Arabidopsis thaliana: one gene and its partners. The protein of the gene in region 1 interacts with the protein of each later gene in a biochemical or structural test. Each region holds a gene or a part of one and is shown in the gene's direction. Other genes may lie near its edges.

The links. Proteins that work in one complex are often made in the same cells at the same time.
Region 2: the proteins of TWD1 (region 1) and ABCB1 form a complex in vitro, tested with the Arabidopsis thaliana proteins (one study listed by BioGRID).
Region 3: the proteins of TWD1 (region 1) and HA2 form a complex in vitro, tested with the Arabidopsis thaliana proteins (one study listed by BioGRID).

The regions. Positions count from the first base shown.
Region 1 is NC_003074.8:7,617,631-7,624,259, reverse strand, and holds TWD1 (FKBP-type peptidyl-prolyl cis-trans isomerase family protein), read left to right. Parts: upstream 1-2,782; 5' UTR 2,783-2,909; intron 2,910-3,140; 5' UTR 3,141-3,162; coding exon 3,163-3,199; intron 3,200-3,479; coding exon 3,480-3,656; intron 3,657-3,771; coding exon 3,772-3,861; intron 3,862-4,101; coding exon 4,102-4,286; intron 4,287-4,397; coding exon 4,398-4,520; intron 4,521-4,660; coding exon 4,661-4,813; intron 4,814-4,902; coding exon 4,903-5,235; 3' UTR 5,236-5,409; downstream 5,410-6,629. Other genes in the region: AT3G21650 (Protein phosphatase 2A regulatory B subunit family protein), read left to right, coding at 848-2,101, 2,194-2,580; CERK1 (chitin elicitor receptor kinase 1), read left to right, coding at 5,730-6,369, 6,466-6,499, 6,588-6,595. UniProt on the Arabidopsis thaliana protein: PPIases accelerate the folding of proteins. It catalyzes the cis-trans isomerization of proline imidic peptide bonds in oligopeptides.
Region 2 is NC_003071.7:15,500,204-15,508,489, forward strand, and holds ABCB1 (ATP binding cassette subfamily B1), read left to right. Parts: upstream 1-1,522; 5' UTR 1,523-1,958; coding exon 1,959-2,222; intron 2,223-2,291; coding exon 2,292-2,346; intron 2,347-2,431; coding exon 2,432-2,607; intron 2,608-2,680; coding exon 2,681-2,881; intron 2,882-3,008; coding exon 3,009-3,268; intron 3,269-3,367; coding exon 3,368-3,684; intron 3,685-3,771; coding exon 3,772-3,995; intron 3,996-4,323; coding exon 4,324-4,697; intron 4,698-4,780; coding exon 4,781-5,498; intron 5,499-5,575; coding exon 5,576-6,847; 3' UTR 6,848-7,298; downstream 7,299-8,286. UniProt on the Arabidopsis thaliana protein: Brassinosteroid exporter that, in conjunction with ABCB19, supports the accumulation of exogenous brassinosteroids (BR) in the apoplast, thus promoting BR signaling initiation involving the specific receptor BRI1 and required for plant growth and stress responses.
Region 3 is NC_003075.7:14,769,301-14,777,891, reverse strand, and holds HA2 (H[+]-ATPase 2), read left to right. Parts: upstream 1-1,833; 5' UTR 1,834-1,971; coding exon 1,972-2,013; intron 2,014-3,026; coding exon 3,027-3,146; intron 3,147-3,245; coding exon 3,246-3,482; intron 3,483-3,590; coding exon 3,591-4,352; intron 4,353-4,439; coding exon 4,440-4,562; intron 4,563-4,641; coding exon 4,642-4,746; intron 4,747-4,849; coding exon 4,850-4,994; intron 4,995-5,083; coding exon 5,084-5,586; intron 5,587-5,685; coding exon 5,686-5,718; intron 5,719-5,810; coding exon 5,811-5,892; intron 5,893-5,995; coding exon 5,996-6,156; intron 6,157-6,252; coding exon 6,253-6,426; intron 6,427-6,522; coding exon 6,523-6,887; intron 6,888-6,978; coding exon 6,979-7,072; 3' UTR 7,073-7,327; downstream 7,328-8,591. Other genes in the region: AT4G30180 (uncharacterized protein), read right to left, coding at 8,388-8,591. UniProt on the Arabidopsis thaliana protein: The plasma membrane H(+) ATPase of plants and fungi generates a proton gradient that drives the active transport of nutrients by H(+)-symport. The resulting external acidification and/or internal alkinization may mediate growth responses.

The DNA.
Region 1 (6,629 bases):
GTTGATGGCGTCATAATGAAATGGGATTGGTGAATTAAACGAAAATTGACGACTTACTATTTGACGACCATGTAAAACGTTTACTTTTCAGGGTTGTTTTGACTTTTTTGACTCACCTGCCATTCTGTCAAACCGTGCGTGTCCATGTTTATTGATTTTTCCTTCTGTTCTTTCCACCTATGTGTGTGTGTCTCTGTGATGTTTATAAAAAAAAACAATAAATTTTTTTAGAAAATATCTGGATGTTCCAGGTTTGTTATTCGATTCAGAGCAAAACGATTAAGTGTTTAAATGGATTTAGATTTACAGTAAATATCCAGATAGAGAGAAAGAAGGATAAGGAGAGAAGAAAACGATTACTTTCTTCTATTCTTGTTCATTACAACCTTATAATCTCAACATTTGTTTTTTTTCTTTTGTTCTCTCTTTCTTACATATTTCTTTTGGATTTCGTTGTCTTTTTTTTTTCTCTCTTTTCTTCTCCTCTCTCTCGCTCGATTTCAATTTGGGCGAGAAAGGAGCGGTCTTTTGTCTTTCCTGGGTTTATCAGCTAGATCCCTCTTGCCTAAAGTTTGTAACTTTCTTAGGGTTTTCTTCTGATTTCCTCTCTCTCGGGGTTAATTCTGCTCAAAAATGTAAGCCCTTCTCCTTTTATTTCGTTTGTTAGATTTTGTTTTGCTTGATCTGATTCTGTTATGTAATTTTGGGTTCAGGGTTTGATTCAGAGGCAAATCTGGTTTTGTTTAGACAATAAAGTTCGGGACTTTTTGACATACTCACAGCTGGTTTTTAGCTTTGGTTCTTATAGAGAGTAATAGTAGTGAAGGGTTTGTGCCAATAGTTAGAAATGATCAAACAGATATTTGGGAAATTACCTAGAAAGCCTTCCAAATCATTGCAGAATGACTCCAATGGTGAAGGAGGTGTTAATAATTCTTATTATGCTTCGAATTCGAGTACTACTAGTATCTCTAAACCTTCTTCAACATCTTCGAAATCATCATCAGCCTCGGGTTCGCGTGTAGCTAATGGAACTCTTGCTCCTAACTCAATGAGCTCTAATAGGAATACTAATCAAGGGAAGAAACCATTGGGAGGAGATGCTGTTGTACAAGCTGGACCGTTTCCGTCTTCTGGTGGGGTTTATGAGGCTTTGCCTAGCTTTAGAGATGTTCCTATATCGGAGAAACCGAATCTCTTTATCGGGAAGTTGAGTATGTGCTGTGTTGTTTTTGACTTTAGTGATCCGTCTAAGAACCTTAAGGAGAAAGAGATTAAGAGGCAGACATTGCTTGAGCTTGTTGATTATGTTGCATCAGTTGGTTTTAAGTTTAACGATGTTTCGATGCAAGAGTTAACGAAGATGGTAGCGGTTAATCTGTTTAGAACTTTTCCTTCTGCGAATCACGAGAGTAAAATTCTTGAAATACATGATATGGATGATGAAGAACCTTCTTTGGAGCCAGCTTGGCCTCATGTTCAAGTTGTGTATGAGATTCTTCTCAGATTCGTGGCTTCTCCCATGACTGATGCAAAGCTTGCCAAGAGATATATTGACCATTCTTTTGTCTTGAAGCTCTTAGACTTGTTTGATTCTGAAGATCAAAGAGAGAGGGAATATCTAAAAACTATTCTGCATCGGGTGTACGGGAAGTTCATGGTGCATCGACCTTACATCAGAAAGGCGATAAACAATATCTTCTACAGATTCATATCCGAGACTGAAAAGCATAATGGCATTGCGGAGTTGCTAGAGATTCTTGGAAGTATAATTAATGGTTTTGCTTTGCCTTTAAAAGAAGAGCACAAGCTCTTCCTTTTGCGAGCCTTGATTCCTCTCCACAAGCCTAAATGTTCATCAGTCTATCACCAACAGCTTTCGTATTGCATTGTTCAGTTTGTAGAAAAGGACTTCAAGCTCGCTGATACCGTTATTAGAGGTCTTTTAAAATATTGGCCTGTGACTAACAGCTCAAAGGAAGTTATGTTTCTTGGAGAGTTAGAAGAAGTCTTGGAAGCAACTCAAGCCGCTGAGTTTCAACGTTGTATGGTTCCATTATCCCGACAAATTGCTCGATGCCTCAACAGTTCACATTTCCAGGTTCGAGTCTTTGACTATCATCACAACTTCATATCTATCTCTCTTGATAAAGTCTTGTACCTATATATGAAGTTGTACTTTTTGTTTGTCAGGTTGCTGAAAGAGCATTGTTTCTATGGAACAACGATCACATAAGAAACCTGATCACTCAGAACCATAAAGTGATAATGCCTATAGTCTTCCCAGCTCTTGAGAGAAACACGCGTGGACATTGGAACCAAGCAGTTCAAAGTCTGACTATAAACGTGAGGAAAGTATTATGCGAGATTGACCAAGTTCTTTTCGACGAGTGTTTAGCCAAATTCCAAGTAGAAGAAGTGAATAAAACAGAGGTTAAAGCGAAACGGGAAAGGACATGGCAACGGTTAGAAGATTTAGCTACTTCAAAGACCGTTGTAACCAACGAGGCAGTACTGGTTCCAAGATTTGTGTCCTCAGTCAATCTTACTACAAGCAGCTCTGAGTCCACAGGGTCGTAGTAGGCTCTCGTAGGTTACTATGTACTTGTAACAAATATTTGTGGTCACTATAGAAATGGTTCTTGAGAGACGACTGTATAATTATTTTTTTAAATTATAATCTTTTGGGTCAAATTGAGAATATTTGATATTATTTTACTGAATTATAATAAACGCCGTTAAAACTCTCGTTAGTTAACGGCTGACTCTGAAGTGAAAACTGAAAAGTCGAAGGGTCTCTTTATATTTTCAGAATCAAAATCTGAAATTTATCTCTCGGTCGATCCAGTCTTCGTGAGTGACTTCGACGACGACGACGAGTCACACTACTCTTGAGCTTCTCATACTTCGTAAGTTCACTCTCCTCTTCTCTAAATTGACAAACTTTTTCTTCGTTTTCTGCTATTATTGACGACGAGACTTGATTTTGTTTTGAAATGAAATGGTTCAAGTAGCTGACTTCGACTATGTTCTTTTGGGTTTTTGTCATTGAATCTTACTTGTCTGATTTGGTCGATGTTTAATCAATTCAACACTTAAAGATTCAATTTTTGGATTGACACTTGCACATTTTTATTCAGACCCAGGTTGATTTGGGAAATAATGGATGAATCTCTGGAGCATCAAACTCAAACACATGGTAAGTAAATTTTCATAGATTTAATCTCTCTGAATACATATATATGACTTCAATATGTTTGATTGGAGTTTTTTTGTTGTCCCATATTCAATTGGATGCTTTGTTAAAGGATAAATGTCTATCAAATTATGTTGACTGCGTTATTCTTTCTAAATCATATTGTGAATCTTGGAACAAAGCATGTATACAACAAATTTGTTAGACTTGATAACTCCTTTTCTGTTTGTTAAGAATTGAGAATGACTATTGGGGTTGACTAATGCATCTTTTGTGGCTCCAGACCAAGAGAGCGAAATAGTTACTGAAGGAAGTGCCGTTGTGCATAGTGAGCCATCTCAAGAGGGTAATGTTCCTCCTAAAGTTGATAGTGAAGCTGAGGTCTTGGATGAGAAAGTCAGTAAGCAGATTATAAAGGAAGGTCACGGTTCCAAACCATCCAAGTACTCTACATGCTTTTGTAAGTACCCTTTAGCTTTCTGTTGATTGGATGTTGATTTTTCGATTGCACTTGTTGGCCTATTGCTACTGTTTATTTGAATCTTTCTATCTGACCAATTTCATATTGGCCATAGTGCACTACAGGGCATGGACCAAAAACTCGCAGCACAAATTTGAGGATACATGGCATGAGCAGCAACCTATTGAATTGGTTCTTGGAAAAGGTATGTGGCTGTCGAATATGTACTCTACACCTCCATTTCGTTAGATGAATCGTCATTGGTAAATTTGATGAGTTAGCTTGTGTATTATATGAACCCAATGAGATGGATATTTGGGAGGAAAAAAGATTGAGTTTTGTATTTTTTTTGCTTCAATGCTGATTAGCCCATTTTAACGTCACTATACAATTTTTTTTATAAAAAAGATTGTGCACTAAGAGTGAAATGTTGTCTGTGAGACAGAGAAAAAAGAACTAGCCGGTTTAGCCATCGGTGTTGCTAGCATGAAGTCTGGTGAACGTGCGCTTGTGCATGTTGGCTGGGAATTAGCTTATGGGAAAGAAGGAAACTTTTCTTTTCCGAATGTTCCACCTATGGCAGACTTGTTATATGAGGTGGAAGTTATTGGGTTTGATGAAACAAAGGAGGTAAGTTATTTCCTATACCATCATCTTGTTTCCTTACCAAGACGACTCCACATCCAAGCTTTATCCCAACCTCCTTGCTTACCTCTCTGACTTAGATGATGTATTGAACAGGGAAAAGCTCGCAGTGATATGACTGTAGAGGAAAGGATTGGTGCAGCAGACAGAAGAAAAATGGATGGGAATTCTCTTTTTAAGGAGGAGAAACTGGAGGAAGCCATGCAACAGTATGAAATGGTTATGCATCTCTCTCTATCTCTATCTCTCTTTCCAACAATTACGGTCAAAGTTTAGGTTTTCAGGCATACTTAGTGAGTCTGCTCGAGGCTCTTGTGTCTTCTTTCGGCTTTTGATTAGTCATGGTTTTGCTGTTTCAGGCCATAGCATACATGGGGGACGATTTTATGTTTCAGCTGTATGGGAAGTACCAGGATATGGCTTTAGCAGTTAAAAACCCATGCCATCTTAACATAGCAGCTTGCCTCATCAAACTAAAACGATACGATGAAGCAATTGGTCACTGCAACATTGTAAGACTCATCAAACCATTCATTTGAAGAAAATCATTAAAGTTCATACTCGGTTTCTCGAAATCTAATCAAACTCAAAACCTTATCAGGTGTTGACAGAAGAAGAGAAAAACCCAAAAGCACTGTTCAGAAGAGGGAAAGCAAAGGCAGAGCTAGGACAGATGGACTCAGCACGTGATGATTTCCGAAAGGCACAAAAGTATGCTCCTGACGACAAGGCGATTAGAAGAGAGCTACGAGCACTTGCAGAGCAAGAGAAAGCCTTGTACCAAAAGCAGAAAGAAATGTACAAAGGAATATTCAAAGGGAAAGATGAAGGTGGTGCTAAGTCAAAGAGCCTTTTTTGGTTGATAGTGTTATGGCAATGGTTTGTTTCCCTTTTCTCCCGTATCTTTCGACGCCACAGAGTTAAAGCAGATTAATGTATGAAGAAGGGTAACAATTCAACTCTAAAAGACCAACGTGAAAGATCTACCCCCATTTCTTATTAGTGAGAATTTTGAAAAATATTTTATATAAGAAAAAAAAATAGTCTCTATTGTTTTCGATTATAAAGTAACTTTATATTTTGATCCAAAAAAATAAATTTTTAACAAAAAACATACAAAATTCGAACGTAAAATCTACTTCCTTCAACAGAAATGGCGGTCTTCATAGTTTTTGTCTTTGACCAAAGACTTTCAAATTCCAGCTGCTAGTTGCATTAAATGATCTTAGTATTATTAATTAATTAAGAAACTTCTCAACAATTAACAAACACTAATCAGTAATCATCATTCTCTTTAGTTGAAAAAAATAGTCAACGTTTGATTAAGTCAACCTTTTTCGTCTTTGAATCCATCTTCTTCCCCACAGAGCAACGACGAAACAAAAAAAACAGAGACCCTTCCTCTGGGGAATCTAAGGAAGCTTCAAAATGAAGCTAAAGATTTCTCTAATCGCTCCGATTCTTCTTCTCTTCTCATTCTTCTTCGCCGTGGAATCTAAGTGCAGGACTAGCTGTCCTTTAGCTCTAGCTTCGTACTATCTCGAGAACGGAACAACACTCTCCGTCATCAACCAAAACCTCAATTCTTCAATCGCGCCTTACGATCAAATCAATTTCGATCCAATCCTCAGGTACAACAGTAACATTAAAGACAAAGATAGAATCCAGATGGGCTCTAGGGTTCTTGTACCTTTCCCTTGCGAATGTCAACCTGGTGATTTCCTAGGGCACAATTTCAGCTACAGTGTTCGACAGGAAGATACTTACGAAAGAGTCGCGATTAGTAATTACGCGAATCTCACGACGATGGAGTCGTTACAGGCGAGGAATCCTTTTCCGGCGACTAACATACCTCTCTCTGCGACGCTTAATGTATTGGTGAATTGTTCTTGTGGTGATGAGAGTGTTTCGAAAGATTTTGGTTTGTTTGTTACGTATCCGCTTCGTCCTGAAGACAGTCTCAGTTCTATTGCGAGATCTTCCGGTGTATCGGCGGATATTCTGCAGAGATATAATCCCGGTGTTAATTTTAACTCCGGGAATGGAATCGTTTATGTGCCTGGAAGAGGTACAAAGATTGATCTTTGATGATTTGTGACACAAATTGTTATAAATGTAGTAATGATTGTTGAAGTTTATGTACATGTTCCTGTGTTTTTTGCAGATCCAAATGGTGCATTTCCACCATTCAAATCAAGGTTGTTTTTGTTGTTGTTAAGATTGTATCTTTGTTCATTTTGATATCTATTTACTGATGTATTTCTACTTCTCTTATGTTTTTTGTAGTAAACAAGGTTGGTTCTTTTCTCCATTTTTGAGCTTTTGATG
Region 2 (8,286 bases), on another chromosome or scaffold:
TGTCTTACTCTGACTCTGATTTTATTTCTTTTTAATTAAATAATCACATAAATAATTCACTATCACGACTTTCGTTTTTCCATTTAAATTAAACTAAACCGGTTAGATTCGTTTTTCTTCACCAGGTTAATGTGAACCCCAATTTTTCTATTTTGTTAATGATGTTTTATAATTGTGATTAATACAATTAGAAAATATCTAATAATTAAAGTTGAGACCATAATTAAAGGAAAGGGAACTATTGTGTGAACATATATATATTCTTACACACTCGCAGAGCAACCCTTCTTCACTTGGGCTCATTGGAATGTGATATCCCAAAAAGAAAAGGCAAAACAAACTACTACTAAAAAAGTTGAGATAGTAAAAATACAATTGTACTTTATCATATAATAATTCAATGTACAACAAAACTCAACTACCAAAGTTTGCTTATTACTCTCAAAGAAAAAAACACTGATTAAAAATAGCAAAAGAGATTTGTTTATCTATATGAAAAATAAACTTATATAGAAATTCTTATATGATTAGTTGCAATTGTAGGTGTAACATTTAATCGTTGATTTGTTTTTTTTTTTGGGGTGCATTTCTCTTGTAGTTGTAACAATATTTCACACTTAAGACTTTCAGACAATAGTTTAAAAACAACCGAACAGAAGTTGCAGGTACCTATAACTTGTGTATGAATCCATCCACAGTTTTGTAAACGTTGACTGTTTGACATTTTGAATGTAATTTTATTTAATTAGATCCTACACAACAATAATCACATCTATAATTTGCCAATACATTTTAATAAAACCACTTAACAAAATGGTTTTAACTTTTAATCCAGTAATTTTCTGTAGTTGGTGTCATGATTTATAACTACTGTACACATTTCCAAGATCTAACGAACAATCATAATCGATAATAATTGTACCTACCAAATTTGGTCTAAAAAAATAGAAGAAGTGATTATATATATATTCTTTTTTGTTTTTGATGCTAAATATTTTTTTTTTAATGTGATTATCGTTTATCATTGCACCTCACGGTAATTATTATTGTTTTTCCCTGATTTTATAAAAAAGATATATAGAGAGATTATTGAGACCAATGAAGAGCAGAAACTGTTGGGAGTCAAAAAAAACTTATCTCCAATTTCTAACAGTGTTCTATGTCGGATTCCATCAATCTCTCTCTCTTCCATCATCTGTCACTTTCTTTGTTTTCTACGCAACAAGAAACCGAAGAAAAAAAAATAACAATTTACTAAAGTATTAATTCCTTTTTTTGTGTGACAAAATAAAAACCCACTAAAAAGCAAACGATTCCAAGAACATGGAAACAAATGTGTAAAAAGGAAATAAAAACATCAAGCGTGGGCTGAAAATCACTACACGAAAATCCAAATTTTGGTAATTCTATTAAATTTTTTAAGTTGGTAATAAAGAGAATAAATACACAAATTGACTGGCCAGTACACAAGTTGACTGATTAATCGCAAATTATACATAATTAATAATTAAAAAACGGTAAAAAACGTTAATAAATAAGGAAATAAATCAAAACAAATGAAGAGTGGGATTAGTAAAGTATTAAAGAAAGCATATAGAGCGGAAGAAAACTGAAGATGGAAGATTATAAAAATAAGTGTTGTGAAGAAGAAGCTATTCGATTTTTATAGTCTTGAGTTTTATTTTATTTTAATAAGAAAACAAAATAAGATTTTTAAAAAATAGTATATTATTTATTTATTAATTTTCTTCAGGGCTGTTGTGGTTTTTGAGGTTCTCTATAAAGCAAAGTAAGAAAACATCTACACAAATGTCCCAACAATCTGATCAGAAAAAAGTAGACGAAGAAGAAGAAATTAAGTCACTTGAACAATGGCGTTGGTCCGAAATGCAAGGCCTTGAGCTTCTCCCTCATAACACCAACAACAACTCACGAAGCTCCAGAGAAACTCACCGGAAATGGATAATGACGGTGGTGCTCCTCCTCCTCCGCCGACACTAGTGGTGGAAGAGCCTAAGAAAGCAGAGATTCGTGGAGTTGCTTTTAAAGAGCTATTCAGATTCGCCGACGGATTAGATTATGTATTGATGGGAATTGGCTCTGTTGGTGCTTTTGTCCATGGCTGCTCTTTACCTCTGTTTCTTCGATTCTTCGCCGATCTTGTTAATTCCTTTGGTTCTAATTCTAATAACGTTGAAAAGATGATGGAAGAAGTTCTCAAGGTACTAACTTTATTTCTTTCTCTTCATCTTCAATCTTTGAAAACACTAACTTGTTTTTGGTTATTGCAGTATGCGCTTTACTTTTTAGTGGTTGGTGCTGCAATCTGGGCTTCCTCTTGGGCAGGTTAGAAGAAAGTTACTTAAAGATCTAAACTTTTATACTGTTCTCTTGATCTGATTCGGTTTTAAATATGGTTTCGTTGTTGCAGAGATTTCGTGTTGGATGTGGAGTGGAGAGAGACAAACAACGAAGATGAGGATTAAGTATTTAGAAGCAGCTTTGAATCAAGACATTCAGTTCTTTGATACAGAAGTTCGAACTTCAGATGTTGTCTTCGCCATTAACACCGACGCTGTTATGGTTCAAGACGCCATTAGTGAGAAAGTAAGAATCTTCAAATTCTTAGTCTTTTTGTTTCTTCTTCCTTATCTGATCTGTTTTTTTTTGGGAATCTCAGCTTGGTAATTTCATCCATTACATGGCGACTTTTGTTTCTGGATTCATCGTGGGTTTCACTGCGGTGTGGCAACTAGCTTTAGTGACTCTCGCGGTGGTTCCGTTGATTGCTGTGATCGGAGGAATTCACACCACTACTCTCTCTAAACTATCTAATAAGAGTCAAGAGTCTCTTTCACAAGCTGGTAATATCGTCGAACAGGTAGAGTGCACAAATCCCTAGAAATAAATAAATAAAGTTTCTATTTTTGTCAAATCCAGTAATCATCAGATCATTCTATCATCTGGTTTTTTTTTGGGTCTGATTCAATTTCTGAAAAAAATGGCAGACAGTGGTACAAATCAGGGTAGTGATGGCTTTCGTTGGAGAATCAAGAGCTTCACAAGCTTATTCATCAGCTTTGAAGATTGCTCAGAAGCTTGGTTACAAAACAGGTTTAGCTAAAGGAATGGGACTTGGTGCTACATACTTCGTTGTCTTTTGTTGTTACGCTCTCTTGCTTTGGTACGGTGGTTATCTAGTTCGCCACCATTTGACCAACGGTGGTCTCGCTATTGCCACAATGTTCGCCGTTATGATTGGTGGATTGTAAGCAACTCTTTGCTCTTCTCTGTTCATCACTCTTGTTATCATTTGGTTTGATATTGGTTTGTTGATGGTGATGAGTTTTTTTATTTTTGTTTAAAGGGCATTGGGACAATCAGCACCGAGCATGGCTGCATTTGCCAAAGCAAAGGTTGCTGCTGCAAAGATCTTTAGAATCATTGATCACAAACCAACGATAGAGCGTAACAGCGAGTCCGGTGTGGAGTTAGACTCAGTCACGGGTCTTGTCGAGCTTAAAAATGTGGACTTTTCGTATCCGTCAAGGCCAGATGTTAAGATTCTTAACAACTTCTGCCTCTCTGTTCCTGCTGGGAAGACCATTGCTTTGGTTGGGAGCAGTGGTTCAGGAAAAAGCACAGTCGTTTCGCTTATAGAGCGGTTTTACGACCCGAACTCAGGTTAACAATCTTAACATTCTGTTACATTTCAAGCTGTTTTGTTCGAGCATTGTTATTTTAATTAACACGGTGTTATCGTCTCTGCAGGACAAGTTTTACTAGATGGGCAAGACCTGAAGACGCTGAAACTGAGATGGTTAAGGCAACAGATAGGGCTAGTGAGTCAAGAACCTGCATTATTCGCCACTTCTATCAAGGAGAATATACTCTTAGGCCGTCCTGACGCAGATCAAGTCGAGATAGAGGAGGCTGCTCGAGTCGCAAATGCTCATTCCTTTATCATCAAACTACCTGATGGCTTCGACACACAGGTCTGATGGTTTATGTGAATCTGTGTTCTTTTGTTTCTTCAATTATTCATTAGTTTAAGGTATTTTGAAAGAGTCAAAAGAGAGAAGAGGTATGGTCATGGAAAAGCATTTATAACAGAGTAACATGGGTTTGGTCAACAACGCATGTGAGACCCAGACAAGTAGTTTTAGTCATGTGTCTTGATGTTGAATTTTTTTTAGTGTTCATGTGCTTGTTTTTTTTCTTGCTACTTTAACTTGAAAACCAGCAACCACTATTCCAATGGATTTTTAATCCAGATAGACATATGTTTGTTTATACTCATGTGGTAAATGTGAATAATGTCAGGTTGGGGAGAGAGGATTGCAGCTGTCTGGTGGGCAGAAGCAAAGAATAGCGATAGCAAGAGCGATGTTGAAGAACCCGGCGATACTTCTATTAGATGAGGCGACGAGTGCATTGGATTCTGAATCAGAGAAGCTTGTACAAGAGGCTTTGGATCGTTTCATGATTGGAAGGACTACTCTCATCATTGCTCATCGCCTTTCTACCATTCGAAAAGCTGACCTTGTTGCTGTGCTACAGCAAGGAAGTGTCTCTGAGATTGGAACGCATGATGAGCTTTTTTCCAAGGGAGAAAATGGAGTCTATGCTAAGCTAATTAAAATGCAAGAAGCAGCTCACGAAACCGCCATGAGCAATGCAAGAAAGAGTAGCGCAAGGTATACTCTTATTCATTTTGTGTTTGTTTTTTGTTTTGATGATGCTTTTTTTTGGGTTACTGATGTTAATCTATTTGTTGCAGACCGTCGAGTGCTAGAAACTCGGTTAGCTCGCCAATAATGACTCGGAATTCGTCGTATGGAAGATCACCTTATTCACGGAGACTATCCGATTTCTCAACTTCTGATTTTAGCCTCTCCATTGACGCTTCGTCCTACCCAAACTATAGAAACGAGAAGCTGGCCTTCAAGGATCAAGCCAATTCATTCTGGCGACTAGCTAAAATGAACTCTCCAGAGTGGAAATACGCTTTGCTCGGTTCAGTAGGCTCTGTCATTTGTGGCTCCCTTAGTGCATTCTTCGCATATGTCCTCAGTGCAGTCTTAAGCGTCTACTACAACCCGGACCACGAATACATGATCAAACAGATTGATAAGTACTGTTATCTCTTAATCGGTCTCTCTTCCGCAGCACTTGTCTTCAACACGCTCCAGCATTCTTTCTGGGACATTGTGGGTGAGAATCTGACCAAGAGAGTCCGTGAGAAGATGCTGAGCGCTGTACTCAAGAATGAGATGGCTTGGTTTGATCAAGAGGAGAACGAAAGTGCAAGAATCGCAGCAAGATTAGCTCTTGATGCTAATAATGTGAGATCTGCGATAGGAGATAGAATATCGGTTATTGTGCAGAACACAGCACTGATGCTTGTTGCTTGCACTGCCGGGTTTGTTCTACAATGGAGACTCGCACTTGTCCTTGTCGCAGTCTTCCCCGTAGTTGTTGCTGCAACTGTCTTACAGGTTTGTGTTCTTTTAAAGCATGTGCATGCTCTCATTGTTGTTCTTGGATCTGAAACTTTGTCTTGTCTTTTGAACAGAAAATGTTCATGACTGGTTTCTCGGGAGACCTGGAAGCGGCACATGCCAAGGGAACGCAGCTTGCTGGTGAAGCCATAGCTAATGTCAGGACAGTTGCTGCATTTAACTCGGAGGCAAAGATTGTCCGTCTCTACACTGCAAACCTCGAACCACCATTGAAACGATGCTTCTGGAAAGGACAGATCGCTGGAAGTGGTTATGGTGTAGCTCAGTTCTGTCTTTATGCATCTTATGCTCTCGGGCTATGGTACGCATCATGGCTTGTGAAACACGGCATCTCTGACTTCTCCAAAACCATAAGAGTCTTCATGGTTCTGATGGTCTCAGCCAATGGTGCAGCAGAGACACTCACACTGGCTCCTGATTTCATCAAAGGTGGTCAAGCTATGCGGTCTGTTTTCGAACTTCTTGACCGGAAAACCGAGATTGAACCTGATGATCCTGATACCACCCCGGTCCCAGACCGGTTACGTGGTGAAGTCGAGCTCAAACATATCGATTTCTCTTACCCTTCAAGGCCAGACATCCAGATTTTCCGTGACCTTAGCCTTCGTGCTAGAGCTGGCAAAACCCTAGCTCTTGTGGGTCCAAGCGGGTGCGGAAAAAGCTCAGTTATCTCCCTCATCCAGAGATTCTACGAACCTTCCTCAGGCCGAGTCATGATCGACGGGAAAGACATAAGGAAATACAACCTGAAAGCCATAAGGAAACACATAGCCATAGTCCCTCAAGAGCCGTGCTTGTTCGGAACTACCATTTACGAAAACATTGCATATGGACATGAATGTGCGACCGAAGCAGAGATCATACAAGCCGCGACTCTAGCCAGTGCGCACAAATTCATATCCGCGCTACCAGAAGGTTACAAAACGTATGTTGGCGAGAGAGGCGTTCAGCTCTCGGGAGGACAGAAACAGAGGATCGCGATCGCACGTGCCCTCGTGAGGAAAGCAGAGATCATGCTGCTTGACGAGGCTACAAGCGCTCTTGATGCAGAGTCCGAGAGATCAGTCCAAGAAGCATTAGACCAGGCTTGCTCTGGTAGAACATCAATAGTCGTGGCTCATAGGCTATCTACAATCAGGAACGCACACGTGATCGCTGTCATCGATGATGGAAAAGTGGCTGAACAAGGATCGCATTCGCATCTTCTCAAGAACCATCCTGATGGAATCTACGCGCGAATGATACAGTTGCAAAGATTTACGCATACACAAGTGATTGGTATGACGTCAGGTTCAAGTTCTAGGGTTAAGGAAGATGATGCTTAGTACTTACTACTTTGGTCATATAGAAGAAAAAAGAAGGAGAGTAAAAAACAACAAACACCAGAAGATGTTTCTGATAAAAAACTCTACGAACTCATCATTTTCTCTTTTTTTCTTTCTGTTTTGATTTTGGGGTTACTTATTTTTGGAACTACGTTTCAGATTTGATGGTATAGTATTATTATTGTGTATTATCATAATTAATCTAATTTTTCACCTCTGTAATATCCATTTATATGCCATATCAATCTATGAGCCTCTGCCTTTCTAGTGAAGTGAAGAAGGTGATGATGAGAGGTATGTATCTCATAATCATCGAGGCACTTGTTACCATATATATTGGTTTGGTCTTGTTCTAGATTTCAGGATAAGCCTAACTTTTCAATCATGAGATCCGTTCTAAAAGAAATATTATGGTATATGATGAAAATGTAATCTTTTAAGGTTTTTAATTGTATTGGTTAGATGGGTGATGGGTCTCGAATGTTGTGGGTCTATTTTAAAATCTATTGTGTGTACATCATGCTTTTATACTAGATCATGATTAGTAATGTAAGCATATAAATAATTAACTATGACAATATTGTCAAAAAGAATGCTTTAGATGTATAGACACACGAACATACGTGGGGAACAAAATTATGAAGATGAGAAAACAGAAGATGAGAAAAAGAAGATGGGTCCAAAAAGGACATTGAATGAGATGATGAGACCCAAAGCTAAAACAATAATGAAAAAAAGAAAGAAAAGACAACATTTCTTTTGTGTTTATATAACTTTTTATGAACAAAACAATTCTTGACTTCGTTTCTTTGTGCAACACACGCGTGCGACCACACACACATATATGCATATGGGACACACACCATGATGATGATGACTACTTTGTTTTAGCTGTTGAATGCAAATAAATTTGTGTTTAATTATGAACAAACTTGGAAATTATAGTGGTGGAGAAGAAGAAGCACTAGCTCCTCTCGGCACATGTCGTTCACTAATTGAGAAATTCATAGAAGGCCAATAATTTAAGCTACAGTACTGGAATTCCCCACTTTCTATTAATAAAAGTTTAACAATGTCACCAAGGTTTTTTTACTCTTATTTTTTTTTTATGTAAAGTAGCATGGATACTGGAACTTGAACTACATTTATAACTTTTACAAATCAACGCAAGATTTTTTTTGTAAGATTAGATTATATTTTTGTGAACACCGTGAAAATGCAAATTAAAAATAATGAAAAGATATGCAACAGATGGATACTGGGAGTGGGACATAAGAAAAGCTCTGAAGATAAAACATGCGCAAGCAGAGAAATGGTATAGATCAAGATGAGATTTGCACCTCGATCCGTTTGATATTCAAGTCTATTACGCCTATTCCTAATCCAAAGAGGAACAGCGTTAGAAGAGTCATTTATCAAGGTGTTGCGGATGATGAATT
Region 3 (8,591 bases), on another chromosome or scaffold:
GTACTAATGAGGTCAACAAAATGGTTTTTCATTTTTCAGTCATATATGTACCTATGCGACTGTAAACTCCTTGATTATTTTAGGACTATGCTAGTAGTTATATGATATATGGCTATTCAGATGTTCTTTTCTATATGTATAGTGTGCATTAAGGACAAATTTTGCCTCTTTCCTTCATATATATGACATGATAAGTTTTTAAATGTGTTTGTAAGAGTCATTTAAGTCAACTAGATGATAATATATTATATCTTATATTTTAAATAATTTAGTTAAGGTTCATTTGAGCTGCAAAATTAAATACATAGTGAACTTATTTTACTAGATTACCAAAATTATATTGGTAAAGAAATATTGTGGCAAACTGTAAATAAGTGATGTCTTTTTGTATTTTATTCAAATAAATAGTATGATATATATGTAAAGTATGTTACTGTATACAATAATCTAAAACTTGTTACCCCATGATAAAAAAATGTGATAAATAAAATCATTTTGTTTACAATTTTTCTATCCATCATTTGTGAAAAGAAAAGAAAAGACAAGAAATGATTTTCGTATCTTGTACATATTCTCTTTACCTAATTTACGAGACGTTTGTTTAGACTTGAACACTTATTAATTAGGACATGAATCCTAAGAAGTTAAAACGTAGAGGAGTTGGAAATGACGAACTTTGTATTATTGGGGGACCCATCACAATCAAAAGTCAATTTCTCAGTATATCTTCAGAGGGAACAAATTTAATTAACACTATGGTTTTTATTCAATTATTAACATGTGACATCGTTCCCATTGCTGACCTTGCCATGAGGCACACCTTGGAAGGGCCAATATTTTCATTATCAACGTTAGGGCCACAAATAACTATATATATTAAAATTACTATTCTACAAATTACTACTATATAAATTAGTCCGTCGTAACTAATTACGATCCACACCAACTGATATAATGTAAAAATAGTAAGAAAAAGTAGTTTTCTTACCTGCTTAATCAAGGTATGTAGTTTTTGTTATAAGCATCTCTGTCAAAATTTCAGAGATTTAAAGTGTTTTGGCTTGGAGAAGTATTTGTATGGTTGAGAAAGAAAAAATGGAAACAAAACCGAAGTAACCCATTATTGCTTATCGAAAAAACAAATTTAGAAAAAACGAACCTAAACCAGTTGGAAAACGATTTTGTTAAGAAAATATAGTATTAGTTGAAATTTTCAGAAAGAAATATCTTTCTTTAAACAAAACCTAATAGGTGTCCAAAAAAAAAAAAAGAAAAATGAAGAAGAGGACAGGCTAAGCAGCAAGTAGTATGTTGCTTAGTCAAATATAAATTAAAAAATCCAAGCAATGTATACCTCCACCAAATATTTCTTTCTTGATATAATGATTCATGACAAAAGAAAGAAAAAAAACACCAAAGTCTATGATCTAGTAATTAAAAAAAGAGATATTACAAATTAGTTTCTCTTATAAGCTACTTCCTCCTTAGAGTCCCTTTTCAAACTACTATAAAACATCAAAATATCTCAAAATAAAAAGAAAATAAGAATTATTAACGGTAGAAAATTTTGTTGTTTAAAATGAACAATTATTCCATAATTAAAGTGTAATTAGGACCCACAAAATATATACAAATTTGATTCGGGTTCATAAGCCAAAAATATTACATTAATCAACGGTCAAAGGGTGATTAAGAACTTAAAGAGGCAGCAAAATAAATAAAAAGGGTAATAAATATAGAGAGACTACTTGGTAATGGGACCCACATAGCCAAAACGGCGGAGAAAATCGTCGTTTTTAGTGGCTTATAAAAAGAGGACTCGTATCGACTCTGCAACAGAACCACCTAATCTCTCCTCCTCTCCTTCTCTCTATTTTGCCGGAATACATATGATCGAGTGAAACGGCGGACAAAGCTGTCGTGTTGAGTACTAATTCGCCGTCGTTTTTCTCAGTGAAGGAGTGGTGAGAGATGTCGAGTCTCGAAGATATCAAGAACGAGACTGTTGATCTGGTATACCATTTTTTATCCTCTGTTTTTATTTTATGCTCACAAACTGTTCGATGATCTGCCTGAATGAGAGTAGATCTGTATCCACTTGGTGGCTTTAAAGTCTTTCCTTGGTTATTACTTACTCTCATTATGGTTTCGTTTTTTATATATACATTTTCATCGATTTAGTTTTGAATATGTGAAATTTGTTTAGAAAGACTATATTTTTGTTTCTGGGTAGTAATTAAGTCTAAGAAACGTTTGGAGGACATGAAGAGTTTGTTCATGAGAAAAAAGTAGATCTAAGCATGTGATATACTAGTAAACAAACAAGATAAAGAAAACAGAGTCTCTTTTTTCAGTGGTGGAGCTAGCTACGTCTCAATAAAGTCCAAACCTACTTGTACAATGTTTTGTCTTCTCTTTTTTTGGTTACTAGTAAGAATTTATTTGGTGGTATTTAGAAAAAATAAATATGACTTTAATCAAATCTGTTACTTAACACGAAGTTCGGATTTTTTTTTTGGTTGTACCTTTCCGTGGTACGTTTAACTTCTCTGTCTTTAGCAACCAACAAAAAAGAACACATCTTTTGTGCAGACGTAACTTCTTTTCTGTGTTTCTTGGGACAATAATTTGAATCTTTTTTATTAAAATGCTACTTTTACATAACTTTGGACTGTATTTACGCGACCAAGCCTCGATTTTTACGCCGGGAAGTGAGGGGAATCTTTCGGCGCGTGTGTTTCACGTCGCCATCACGTTGGTCGGTGGTGGCGGTCCCCACTTCACCACCGCTATTTCCCCCCCGCCAAAAATATTTCATTGTCACCGAACTAGTCAACGACTTTTTTCCAACTATTGTACTTATGAAACAGAGTAGATTTATCTACGGTTACAAAATCATCAAAGTTTTCTGTTTTACTTAAGAAAAGGTTTCTCCTTTTTAAGGTTTAGAAACTTGTTTTGTGTATGTGAAAGTTTGAGTTGTTTGGATTTGGTCATCTGATCGAATTTGCTTTTGATTTTTTCAGGAAAAAATTCCGATTGAGGAAGTTTTCCAGCAGCTAAAATGTTCAAGGGAAGGATTGACAACGCAGGAAGGGGAGGACAGGATTCAGATCTTTGGCCCCAACAAGCTCGAAGAGAAAAAGGTCTGATTTTGCATTTGTAGCTCTCAGATAAAATACATAGTTGGTCTCCTTTTTTTTTGTTACTGAGTGTTTGGTGATTTGTGCAATGAAAATTGACAGGAAAGCAAACTTCTGAAGTTTTTGGGGTTTATGTGGAATCCACTTTCATGGGTCATGGAAATGGCTGCAATCATGGCCATTGCTTTGGCCAACGGTGATGGTAGGCCTCCGGATTGGCAGGATTTTGTTGGTATTATCTGTCTGTTGGTTATCAACTCTACCATCAGTTTTATCGAAGAAAACAATGCTGGTAATGCTGCTGCTGCTCTTATGGCTGGTCTTGCTCCTAAAACCAAGGTATATATATGATAAGAGAATGAATGGTGTGAATTTGTTATACAGAACTTTCTGAATTTTCCCTAGAGCTAATGTTTTGGTTCTTGTTGTGATGTTTCTCTGTTTCAGGTTCTTAGGGATGGAAAGTGGAGTGAACAAGAAGCTGCTATTCTTGTCCCAGGAGATATTGTTAGCATTAAATTAGGAGACATTATCCCAGCTGATGCCCGTCTACTTGAAGGTGATCCTTTAAAGGTTGACCAATCTGCTCTAACTGGAGAGTCCCTTCCTGTAACCAAGCACCCGGGTCAAGAAGTTTTCTCTGGTTCAACCTGCAAACAAGGAGAAATCGAGGCGGTTGTTATTGCCACTGGGGTTCATACCTTCTTCGGTAAAGCTGCTCACCTTGTGGACAGCACTAACCAAGTTGGACATTTCCAGAAGGTTCTTACAGCCATTGGGAACTTCTGTATCTGTTCCATTGCTATCGGTATGGTGATTGAGATCATCGTCATGTATCCGATCCAACGCCGAAAGTACAGAGATGGAATTGACAACCTTTTGGTCCTCTTGATCGGTGGTATCCCCATTGCTATGCCTACAGTCTTGTCCGTGACCATGGCTATTGGGTCTCACAGGTTGTCTCAGCAAGGTGCCATCACCAAGCGTATGACTGCCATTGAAGAGATGGCAGGAATGGATGTCCTGTGCAGTGACAAAACCGGGACACTAACCCTCAACAAATTGAGTGTGGACAAAAACTTGGTCGAGGTTTTCTGCAAGGGTGTGGAGAAAGATCAAGTCCTATTATTTGCAGCTATGGCTTCCAGGGTTGAGAACCAGGATGCCATTGATGCAGCCATGGTTGGGATGCTTGCTGATCCAAAGGAGGTATAACCCTTTTTGGTTCACATGTTATTTGTAGTTTTACTGAGCGTCCAAGAAACATGTTCTGATGTTTGATTGGGATTTTCACAGGCTAGAGCTGGAATCAGGGAAGTTCACTTCCTTCCATTCAACCCTGTGGATAAGAGAACTGCTTTGACTTACATTGACGGCAGTGGTAACTGGCACAGAGTCAGTAAAGGTGCTCCTGAGCAGGTGATGGATCTTAATTTTACAAGCTAATCCTTTTTTTTTCTTACCTTTCTTTTTTATACTGATTTGATTCTCCCAACAGATCCTCGAACTTGCCAAAGCCAGCAATGATCTTAGCAAGAAGGTGCTCTCCATTATTGACAAGTATGCTGAGCGTGGTCTTAGGTCGTTGGCTGTTGCTCGCCAGGTACTTATTCGCCATTAATACTGATAGTTCCAGTCCCTTTTTGCTTTTCTTTTCTCAGTGGTAACAAATGTTCAACTGTTTGTCTTCTTATTCCCTTTTGTAGGTGGTGCCAGAGAAAACAAAGGAAAGCCCAGGTGCGCCATGGGAATTTGTTGGCTTGTTGCCACTTTTTGATCCCCCAAGACATGACAGTGCTGAAACAATTCGACGGGCTTTGAATCTTGGTGTTAACGTCAAGATGATCACTGGTAAATTTGTCTACCCATCTATCTTGTTGTGCTAGCTATACACCTTCACAAGTTCCCCCTAACATTCTCTTGAACACATATGTGGCCAGGTGACCAACTTGCTATTGGTAAGGAAACTGGTCGCAGACTTGGAATGGGAACAAACATGTATCCATCTTCGGCTCTTCTTGGTACACACAAAGACGCAAACCTCGCATCCATTCCTGTTGAGGAGTTGATTGAAAAGGCTGATGGATTTGCCGGAGTCTTCCCAGGTTATAATCTGCTTATTTATTGTTTGGATTATAAACCTCACTATATGTTCATTGCAAAGGTGGTGATGTTAGTTCTAAGCTTTGTTTTTTTTATTGCAGAGCACAAATACGAAATTGTGAAAAAGTTGCAGGAGAGGAAGCATATTGTTGGAATGACTGGTGATGGTGTCAATGATGCCCCTGCTCTAAAGAAAGCTGATATCGGTATTGCTGTTGCTGATGCTACAGATGCTGCTCGTGGTGCTTCAGATATCGTGCTCACTGAGCCTGGACTCAGCGTTATTATCAGTGCTGTTCTCACCAGCAGAGCTATTTTCCAGAGAATGAAGAACTATACTGTGCGTCTTCTCCTATTTTTCATCCTTAATTTATTCCAACCACTTGCTTGCTTGCAATTGAAACTAATTACTCTGTTCTATTTTTCTCTCTTGTTACAGATCTATGCAGTCTCAATCACCATCCGTATTGTGGTATGCAAATAAATCCGTTTGAGTTCTGGCCCTTGTTGGTTTTATCTTGGATTAATAGTATGCTGATCATATTGCGTTGAAACTTTTTGCAGTTTGGTTTCATGCTTATTGCTTTGATATGGGAATTTGACTTCTCAGCCTTCATGGTTCTGATCATTGCCATTCTTAACGACGGTGAGCAATGGCTGTCCTTTTGTATAAACCTCAAAATTTGTTTACTTTTTCTACAATGTTTACTTATATCTTTTGGTATTGTGTTGCTATCTTGATCTTATAGGTACCATCATGACAATCTCAAAGGACAGAGTTAAGCCATCTCCCACACCTGATAGCTGGAAACTTAAAGAAATTTTTGCTACTGGAGTCGTTCTAGGAGGCTACCAGGCCATCATGACTGTTATTTTCTTCTGGGCGGCGCACAAGACTGACTTTTTCTCGGTACATACAATTGAGCTAATTAATTTCTCTTTTACAGAAGTTTTTTCTTAGGTTCTTGTTCAGAGTTGTAAAGTAAATTTCACATTGGATTCACAGGACACATTCGGTGTGAGGTCCATTAGGGACAATAACCACGAGCTAATGGGTGCGGTGTACTTACAAGTTAGTATCATTAGTCAAGCTCTGATCTTCGTCACAAGATCAAGGAGTTGGTCTTTTGTTGAACGTCCTGGAGCATTGCTGATGATTGCTTTCCTCATTGCACAACTGGTAAGTTCATCAAATCAACATTTTAAGGGAATTCTTGTTTGGTAAAAAGGTTCTCAAAGAAGCACCCGTTAAATCCATTCATTCTTCCAAATGCAGATTGCTACTTTGATTGCGGTTTACGCCAACTGGGAATTTGCAAAGATTAGGGGTATTGGATGGGGATGGGCTGGTGTGATCTGGCTATACAGTATTGTCACATACTTCCCATTGGACGTTTTCAAGTTTGCCATTCGATACATCTTGAGCGGAAAGGCGTGGCTCAACTTGTTTGAGAACAAGACGGCTTTCACGATGAAGAAAGATTACGGAAAAGAAGAGAGAGAGGCTCAATGGGCACTTGCTCAAAGGACACTTCACGGTTTACAGCCAAAAGAAGCTGTTAACATCTTCCCTGAGAAAGGAAGTTACAGAGAATTGTCTGAGATCGCTGAGCAAGCTAAGAGAAGAGCTGAGATCGCTAGGTAATAAATCCGATCACACACGATTCTTTTTAATCTAAGTGTATTTTTTTGTTGGAATTAAACACTAATTGAATTGTTATATGTTAAACAGGCTTAGGGAGCTGCACACACTCAAGGGACATGTGGAATCAGTCGTGAAGCTAAAGGGCTTGGACATTGAAACTCCCAGTCACTACACTGTGTAGTAAAACCAAACATATGACTGATCTTCGATCCTCTCATGTTTTGTCTTCTTCTTCTTCTTTTTTTCTTCACCACCTCTTATGATTATTATTCACATAGGGAGAGATCTTTGTTTATTGCCATAACTCTTCCCAAACCTTATTGTTAGTGTTCTTGTTTCTCAAATATGTACTTTTGCATAATTTGCTCTTTTGAAGAAACAAGGCATGCCTTTGTGTTTGGCATTTGGCACATGCACATTCTCTTCTTTGCTCTTATTCCATGAGCCTATGTAATCTTAATCTTCTTCTTTTTCGTAATCCAACTTTTCTTCCGGCTTCTTTACTTTTATATATAGTACCTAAATGTTATTTATACCTAGGGACAACAAACAATTTGCTTATTTAAATCAAATTTTGTTTGTTGTAAAGAAGGGAAATAACCATAATTTTTTCTTTTTTTTTTTCACTGAAACCAAATCAATTAAATAACACTATCCTTTAAAAATGCCATTAAAAACATGACATGAGACAAGTTGTGTGGAAGTAGTACGGCTAGAATCTTAAGAGAAATAGAGAGATTTGGATGCGTGCGAGTGACTGTGAGACACGTGCAAAGATATGGATGATGACTTCAAATCAATGTTATGACTTTCATAGTTTACACATATGTCATCCAACTTTCCTCCTTTTTAGATATTTACAATTTCGGCGTTTTGTTTTTCATATTCATCGAATTTTTTGGAAAGTAATTCTAGTCCAGTAGTCCTAATTTTTGTTTACATTTTAATGGTGCACCTGTAGTTACTGCAGCTGGAACATATTGGTGATCTCTACTAATGTGTAGCTTTTATTTAATTGAAGATTTGTTACATCTGATTTTTTGTAGTCGAAAGTTCATATGTTTTCGCTAAAGGAGAAAAAAAACTTGCAGGAATATAAATATATACACAAACACAAAGTTTGTCAGGTTAAAATGATTAGAATATTAAAGTTTGGAGATTTGCTCATAACATTAAAATAATAAATTCAGGAAAAAAAGACAACATAAGAGTTTTATTTTAGGCAGCACATCGTCTATTTGGCATTACAACCAATAATTTAAATTTCAATCAGATTTTGATCGAATTTTATAAGATGTACGTATAAACGGCCATGTGTGGTACTTTAGGTATTTCGGTAACCATGATTAATTAAGAAAAGGAAAAAAGAAAAACACTATAATACATGCTCTTGTTCTTAAAGAAATCAAGAGAAAAAAAAAAACACAGATGATTTTCGTTTAAAGACAACAAAAAAAACATGAAACAAACTATAAATTATACACTTAAACTAAAAGTCAAGTACTATCTTGAACAATGGACTTGAGAGCAATCGTCTGCAACTCAAGACATTTAATGTAGTTACCAATCTCACTCAACATTTCTTCCACATTCATCTCTTCCCCACCTGGCAAAAGCTTCTTCAATTCCCTCAGTCTCTCCTCTATCCCTCCTTCTTCGTTTCCGCCTTCTTTATCGGGTCTTTCAAGAATCCGAATTCC